Linked DNA regions of Arabidopsis thaliana. The protein of the gene in region 1 interacts with the protein of each later gene in a pairwise test. Each region holds a gene or a part of one and is shown in the gene's direction. Other genes may lie near its edges. The genes, in order: HSFA6A and VOZ1.

The links.
Region 2: the proteins of HSFA6A (region 1) and VOZ1 interact in a two-hybrid assay, tested with the Arabidopsis thaliana proteins (one study listed by BioGRID).

What each region holds. Positions count from the first base shown.
Region 1 is NC_003076.8:17,624,777-17,628,704, reverse strand, and holds HSFA6A (heat shock transcription factor A6A), read left to right. Parts: upstream 1-2,217; 5' UTR 2,218-2,340; coding exon 2,341-2,574; intron 2,575-2,653; coding exon 2,654-3,268; 3' UTR 3,269-3,352; downstream 3,353-3,928. Other genes in the region: ARD4 (RmlC-like cupins superfamily protein), read left to right, coding at 124-218, 838-1,077, 1,213-1,341. UniProt on the Arabidopsis thaliana protein: Transcriptional activator that specifically binds DNA sequence 5'-AGAAnnTTCT-3' known as heat shock promoter elements (HSE).
Region 2 is NC_003070.9:10,027,388-10,031,315, forward strand, and holds the start of VOZ1 (vascular plant one zinc finger protein), read left to right. Parts: upstream 1-1,695; 5' UTR 1,696-1,880; exon of another isoform or gene 1,881-2,286; 5' UTR 2,287-2,325; coding exon 2,326-2,556; intron 2,557-2,676; coding exon 2,677-2,826; intron 2,827-2,923; coding exon 2,924-3,440; intron 3,441-3,529; coding exon 3,530-3,928. UniProt on the Arabidopsis thaliana protein: Transcriptional activator acting positively in the phytochrome B signaling pathway. Functions redundantly with VOZ2 to promote flowering downstream of phytochrome B (phyB). Down-regulates 'FLOWERING LOCUS C' (FLC) and up-regulates 'FLOWERING LOCUS T' (FT).

The sequences.
Region 1 (3,928 bases):
TACATGAGGAAACTAAACGTAAACCGTCTTAAAACTAAGGAAATGGTCAAATTTACCCAAGATGAGATTTAACAGAATCATAAATTATGCAAATATCACAAATATAGTTGTTGTGTTTTGTAGAGTTGGGAGTGTTGTACTGGAAGTTGAACCCTGAGAACTACGAGAATGATTCTGAACTTAGCAAGATTAGAGAAGACAGGGGTTACGATTACATGGTACGCATATTATCTCTTCCTGATCACTGTTTTTTCTTAACTTAGGAACACTCATGCTCATCATAAATGCCAATTGAATGTCTCTGTTTTTTAACTTGTTGCATATCGTTGCATGTTGATCTCATGAGATTAACGATTGTGACATATACTAGACACAGTAGGAGTGTAGGACTACATAATGAAGGTAGTACTCAAACCTTACAAAACCAGCCTATGAAGAAAGAAGCCTTATGAGTATTAGAGTACAGGATTTGCTACGGCTTATGTCTTTCTGATCACCCTTTTTTAACTCATGCTCACCATAAGCGGCTATTGATGTTTCAGTTCCTTTACTTGTTATCTCTGCACGCTAATCTCATGAAAAAAAAAAACATGTATCATAGGACAGTAGGACTATAATCTTGCATAACCATTAAGGGGTAGTATGACTACAAACATTTTAGAAACCAGCTTATTAAGGAAGAAGGCTTCTCTGTAATTGAGTATTAAGGGAACATTAAAACGTTTGGTTTACGTTAAAAATAATTAAGCTATTTGTGTGGTGTGTAGCATTGTAACTTATGAGCTATAAACTAATTTTCTCAAGCAGAATGATTACTTTGGTTAATCTTCATTTTAGGATTTGCTGGATCTGTGTCCCGAGAAAGTCAGCAACTACGAAGAAAAGCTGAAGAACTTTTTCACAGAACACATTCACAAGGACGAAGAGATTCGGTACTGCCTAGCAGGAAGTGGCTACTTTGATGTTAGGGACAAGGATGATCGTTGGATCCGTATCTGGATGCAACCTGGCGATCTCATTGTCCTTCCTGCCGGAATCTACCACCGGTTCACACTCGACGCCAGCAACTACATCAAGGTACAAAAAGCCAAACTCAGTCTCTATACTAATTTACTAATTTATATGAATACGCAAATGAAATATTACATCTTAATATCTTATGTTAAAAGATTTGATTGTTGGTTTGTGATGTATGGTGGTTTGGTTTTGCAGCTAATGAGGCTGTTCGTGGGGGAACCGGTTTGGACACCATATAACCGGCCACAGGAAGAACATCCTGTTAGGAAAAAGTATATCCACGGCTTAACCTACAAGTTTGGAGAAACCGTTAAAGCACATTAACAATATTAATATATGCTTGTTGTGTAATTTGTATGTATTGTTTACTCTTTAGTCTTAAGCAGTAAAATAAAAACAGCGGCTCCTTCTGGATAGTTGTTCTTGTAACATACTTTTGCGATGTATGCTTTTATACATAAAAAAAATAGTGTGTATTTATCTAATAAGTATCATTAAAAAACAAATGTCAGCTGCGAACGTGAAATTTATAACTAAAAAAACCCTACGATTTTCGAATAAATTATTTGAGCTTTCCAAACTGTAATTCAAGTATTATTACTTATATAGTGTTAGTGTACTTCAAAAGTTAAAGCATAAATTTTCTTATATTTGAAATGACCTCTTCTTTACAAAATCTTCTTAAAATTATGCATTATCAATATATTAATTGTATATATATATATAATGTATAATTCTGCTTGTGTCGTGCTTAACCGTTTGATTTGGTGTGGTTAGATCTGGTTTTCCCCCAACCCAATTCAATTGAATCAAGGATCAATCAAATTTTCAAAGGATACTCTTGTTCTCTACACAAATCTTTCAAAGGGTTCCACCAAAAATCCCATCATTCTGACTTCAGAATAAACAAACAAACCACGAAACGTATCTCTATGCATTCACTACAACGTGTCATGGGCGAAAACGAAGCTTATAAATGTTGGAGCATAGTCACTAAATTTATAATGATTAATTAAATTTTAGATTTTCTGATATTCATAGAAGACAAAAGAACACAAAAGTAGCATCTTCCAATGAATGTATGACACTATGATCTCTCATTTCCATTTATAGCAAATCGGCTTTGTCCACATCAAAGATAACTAATAAATAGACTTATCCAAAACACTCAAAAGCAATACATTTCTATCCAAAAATATTAAACCCCAAAAATATAGACAGCATAAAAGCATCCTCAAGCTTCAGCTATTCATCACAACTATTCTCTCCTCTCTCTTTTTTTATTAAAAAAGCTCAAATTTATATAGGTTTTTTGTTCACAAAATGGATTATAACCTTCCAATTCCATTAGAGGGTCTCAAAGAAACGCCACCAACGGCTTTCTTGACGAAAACATACAACATAGTGGAGGATTCAAGCACAAACAACATAGTTTCATGGAGCAGAGACAACAACAGCTTCATTGTTTGGGAACCAGAGACTTTTGCCCTAATTTGCCTCCCTAGATGCTTTAAGCACAATAATTTCTCCAGCTTTGTTAGACAGCTCAATACTTATGTACGTAACTACTTTTGAGTTTTTGTCTTGGTTATTTTGATCTTCATTAAAAATTAAATCTTTGTTTAATGATCTGTAGGGGTTTAAGAAGATTGATACAGAGAGATGGGAATTTGCAAATGAGCATTTTCTGAAGGGAGAGAGGCATCTTCTTAAGAACATCAAGAGAAGAAAGACATCATCTCAAACGCAAACGCAGTCGCTAGAAGGAGAGATCCATGAGCTGCGAAGAGACAGAATGGCTTTAGAAGTAGAACTGGTTAGACTGCGACGAAAACAAGAAAGCGTGAAGACATATCTGCATTTGATGGAAGAGAAACTGAAAGTCACAGAAGTAAAGCAAGAAATGATGATGAATTTCTTGCTAAAGAAGATTAAGAAACCGAGTTTTTTACAGAGCTTAAGGAAACGTAATCTGCAAGGAATCAAGAATCGAGAGCAAAAGCAAGAGGTGATCTCAAGCCATGGTGTTGAGGATAATGGAAAGTTTGTTAAAGCTGAGCCAGAAGAGTATGGTGATGACATCGATGATCAATGTGGAGGTGTGTTTGATTATGGTGATGAGCTTCACATAGCTTCAATGGAGCATCAAGGACAAGGGGAGGATGAAATTGAAATGGATAGTGAAGGAATTTGGAAGGGTTTCGTGTTGAGTGAGGAGGAGATGTGTGATTTAGTGGAACATTTTATATAATAAACTAATGTATTATGAGAGGTTTTTTTTTGTTTTTTTGCTTTTTTTTTCCGAGTTTGTCATCAAGCATTGTATACAATTTGGGCCAAACTAAAAGCCCAACAAAATATTTGGCCTTGGCATTTGTTAACAAATTGACTAATTCGGCCACACCTTCCACTCCATTGATTGTTCAAAGACGTCTATCAACATTTTATTTCTCCTGAGCACTAACTATAAAGTATTTACATTTTTACACAAATTTTATTGCTGTCAATTTTAAAAAGTAGCTAAAATACGATACAATTATTTTAATTTAAGTCAGTTATACGTTTCGATCGAAGCGCGTGACGAATCGAACCGTTGGATTGACCTTTTATTTAAGAGATATTGCCTTTTATGATCACCCATGTGGCTTTCCTCGATTTAATTTTATTTTTAATTATTAATAATCGAGTGCACGTACTCGCCACGTCATTTTCATGACTTTATTTTTATAAATCTTATCCTCATTTGTACCATTAGATTCTTCCCTCAAATAAAGCCTTTTTTATACGTTACTACTAAATAAATTAATTCCTCCATCTTAGGAAAATTTTCTCTAATTAAGCGACAACTTTCTAATAAATACTGCATTATCAAACGCACCTAATATTACACAAACGATAATAAAATGGATAC
Region 2 (3,928 bases), on another chromosome or scaffold:
GTCCGGATCAAAGATAAAGTGTAGTGGTGGACCGATCTATATTCCAACCAGGGATATATAAGATGTAAGGTGCATACTCAAAGAAAATATTGTCAATAATTGGCTGTTTAACTGTGATTAATATATAATCGTACTCAGTCAAGAATTGGTTGTTTAAAATTAGTGGAGATATTATTTCTTATAACCTAGTTAAAAGTTGAATTTGAATATTTTTTTAGAGTTCATACGACGAACATTATGTATTTGAAATGAGAATAATAAGCAATAATAGATAAAGAACGATAGAATATGACCATTGAAGAAATTGAAAGTAGATGGTATGATGAAAATTGATGAGCATCACAAGATAGGAATATGGAAAACATAGTGGAGAAAAGCTAAGTTATATTCCTTCCTTGCCAATATCTCCTTCTTTTACACCTTCTTGTATCTTAAAAGAAAATAATAATAACTTAGTATTCACGACACTTGTCCAAATTCTTTACCCAAGATTCCTTTGTTATGCTTGTTTGTTTTTTCCTCCAAAAGTAATGCAAATTTACATTAGGTACAAACAATCTCATTGTTAAAACTCATTGAAAGGATATAAGAAAACAAATGGGTCCAAATTATTTTAAGAAATGACCAATTGTCAAGCGCAACCAAAATTACGGTTATCAATCTAATTGACTTATCTTGAAAATATAATACGTTACATTTCCAATATTCCTTTTTTATTATCAAATTACGTTACATGTAGTCGTAGACTTGAGCACTAATTAGCCGTTGAATCAAAATCTTTAACGTGGTTCTACTACGATGCTATCATAAAGTCTATGTCAATTTATCAACAAAATATACATTCTCGAAAGAAATGTTATCATGAATCGTTTTTTAGTTTTTTTTTCCTACGACTACAAGTACAGCTACGCAAAGTTGCAAACCACTCCCCTCCATACACATTAACTTGGACTAAACCCGATGATCATACAATGTCACAAATTTTAGCGTTACTACATTAGTCTTAACATTTTCTAATATTTGCAAATGTTCCATCCCTAAAATGGATGGTAGTTTTAATTTCAAAGCCTTTTTTTACACTTTTTTGTTTGGTATTTGTTTTAATTTTCTCGTATGTATAAAATTTGCTTAGCTTTAGCCTATCTTGAATTCTATCATCGCATATTCGCATGGTTATATTATATCTTACAAATCGTGTGACCCAAACTCTGATTTTGGAAAAATTCTTGGCGACTTCCCTAATGTATTACATAGTCTAAAGAAAAACTTAAATTTCTAACTCAAATAGTATTTAAATTTCCTCAAATAAGGAGCAAGTAGTGTATGGAGCCAATAGCATTGAAGAAAATGCCTAATTTTCTAAAGCATATGTGCAACAAAAAAAAAAAAAAAACATAATTGAACTCTGGTTAGTTTAGAAAACAAAACAAAAAAAAAAGATTATTTACACAACAAATAGTAAATTTTAAATGCTCATTTAATATTTCTTAATATAAATAAATGCTATAAAGAGAAAAAATGAACAATAAAAAGAAAAGAATCCATAATAAACAGTCCAAATGGCATTTTTTTCCAAAATAATCATTAAATTCCTTAAACATTTCCCCACAATTTGATAATTTTTAAATTTTTATATTTTCTCATAAATTAGTACATTGAATTTAGCTCATAAAAAAGGAAAAAGAAAAGTGGAGGGTGAAGAGAAGAAGAGAATCCAGCAACGTTTCTTTATTTCCTTTGTGTTTTTTTTTCTTCATAATCTCTCTCTTTTTATTTATTCATAATTTTTACTCTCTCCATTTCTTCATTACTCTTCTTTTTATTTTCCGGAGATTTTTCTCTTTGCCTTTGTTATTTGCTGCTTTTGCTGCAGCTACAGTGTAAGTTTGATTTTCTGGGTTCCTTCAAACTCCAAAATCTCGCGTCGCTTTTTGCTTCAGAATCGATTTGTTCTTGTTACTTCGATCTGTTGTTCTTTTTAACTCTGTGCATGATTCAATTTCGTGTTCGTAACCTGTTTTTTGCTGCTTGTTTAGTTCGACAATTAGGTAAAAAAATGACGATCCCTAAAACTTATGATCCTTTTAATCTTCGTTTAGCTACTTCGTTCGAGATCATCTAGGGCTTTTGTTGCTTCATCGATTTTGGGTTTTGATTTACTGTAAATGTTTTGGTTTTGTTTATGTAATCTAAGCATGTACCAATGATTCATGAGTGATCATGTTTGTTATAGGAGCAGAACTGATGTGAAGTGTGTATTTTGAATGTGTTTTTGGTTTTGTACAGAGAATCTTGTGTTTTTGTGGTGGGGAGGTGAGATTTCTTATGACGGGGAAGCGATCAAAGACTAATTGCAGATCTGCTTCTCACAAGCTCTTCAAGGATAAGGCTAAGAACCGTGTTGATGATTTGCAAGGCATGCTTTTGGATCTTCAGTTTGCGAGGAAAGAGAGTAGGCCTACTGATGTTACTCTTCTTGAGGAGCAAGTGAATCAGATGCTTCGTGAGTGGAAATCTGAGCTCAATGAGCCTTCTCCAGCTTCATCCTTGCAACAAGTATGCTTTCGTTTGTTTCAAATTTGCAATCTTGTTGTTTCTTCTGACTTGCATGGGTGATTTAGTTTTCTTTGTTGTTTCAGTCATTGTTAGCTGTGTCATTTTGTTTTGCTTAAGCAGGGTGGTACTCTGGGGTCTTTCTCATCAGATATTTGTCGGCTGCTGCAGCTCTGTGATGAGGAAGATGATGCTACCAGCAAATTAGCTGCCCCCAAGCCCGAGCCTGCTGATCAGAATCTCGAAGCTGGCAAAGCTGCTGTCTTCCAAAGGGTGAGTTGCTCTTTAGAACCAGTTTTTAATGGTGCTTTAGTTGTGTTTGGAGTCCATTATTTTGTTTAAATACTGAGATCGTGGTGAAAGTTTTCAGGGATACAATTTGGTTCAGGGGAAGTCAGAACATGGATTACCATTGGTTGATAATTGCAAAGATTTGTCCTTAGCAGCTGGTAACAATTTCGATGGAACGGCTCCTTTGGAGTATCATCAGCAGTATGATCTGCAACAAGAGTTTGAACCAAACTTCAATGGTGGTTTCAACAATTGTCCCAGTTATGGTGTAGTAGAGGGTCCTATACATATCTCTAATTTTATCCCGACTATTTGTCCTCCACCCTCTGCATTCTTGGGTCCAAAATGTGCTCTTTGGGATTGCCCTAGGCCAGCTCAGGGATTTGATTGGTTCCAGGATTACTGCAGCAGCTTCCACGCTGCACTGGCTTTCAATGAAGGGCCACCAGGTATGAATCCGGTGGTGCGTCCTGGAGGTATCGGCCTAAAAGACGGTCTGCTTTTTGCTGCTCTTAGTGCAAAGGCTGGAGGGAAAGATGTTGGTATTCCCGAATGTGAAGGAGCTGCAACTGCTAAATCTCCATGGAATGCTCCAGGTAGGCTTTACTCTCTTGGAATTCATTCACAAGTATGTTAATTGATCACCATTCTTGAGCTGATCATACTCAAATCTTGATGACTGTAGAGCTCTTTGATCTCACGGTTCTGGAGAGTGAGACACTAAGGGAGTGGCTATTCTTTGACAAGCCAAGGAGGGCCTTTGAGAGCGGGAACAGAAAGCAAAGATCTTTACCAGACTACAATGGTCGTGGTTGGCACGAGTCACGTAAACAGATCATGGTCGAGTTTGGAGGGCTGAAGAGATCTTACTACATGGATCCACAGCCTCTGCACCATTTCGAATGGCATCTTTACGAATATGAGATCAACAAGTGTGATGCTTGTGCCTTGTACAGGCTCGAGCTCAAGCTTGTTGACGGGAAGAAGACTTCAAAAGGCAAAGTCTCAAACGACTCAGTGGCTGATCTGCAGAAGCAGATGGGAAGACTCACAGCTGAGTTCCCTCCAGAAAACAATACCACTA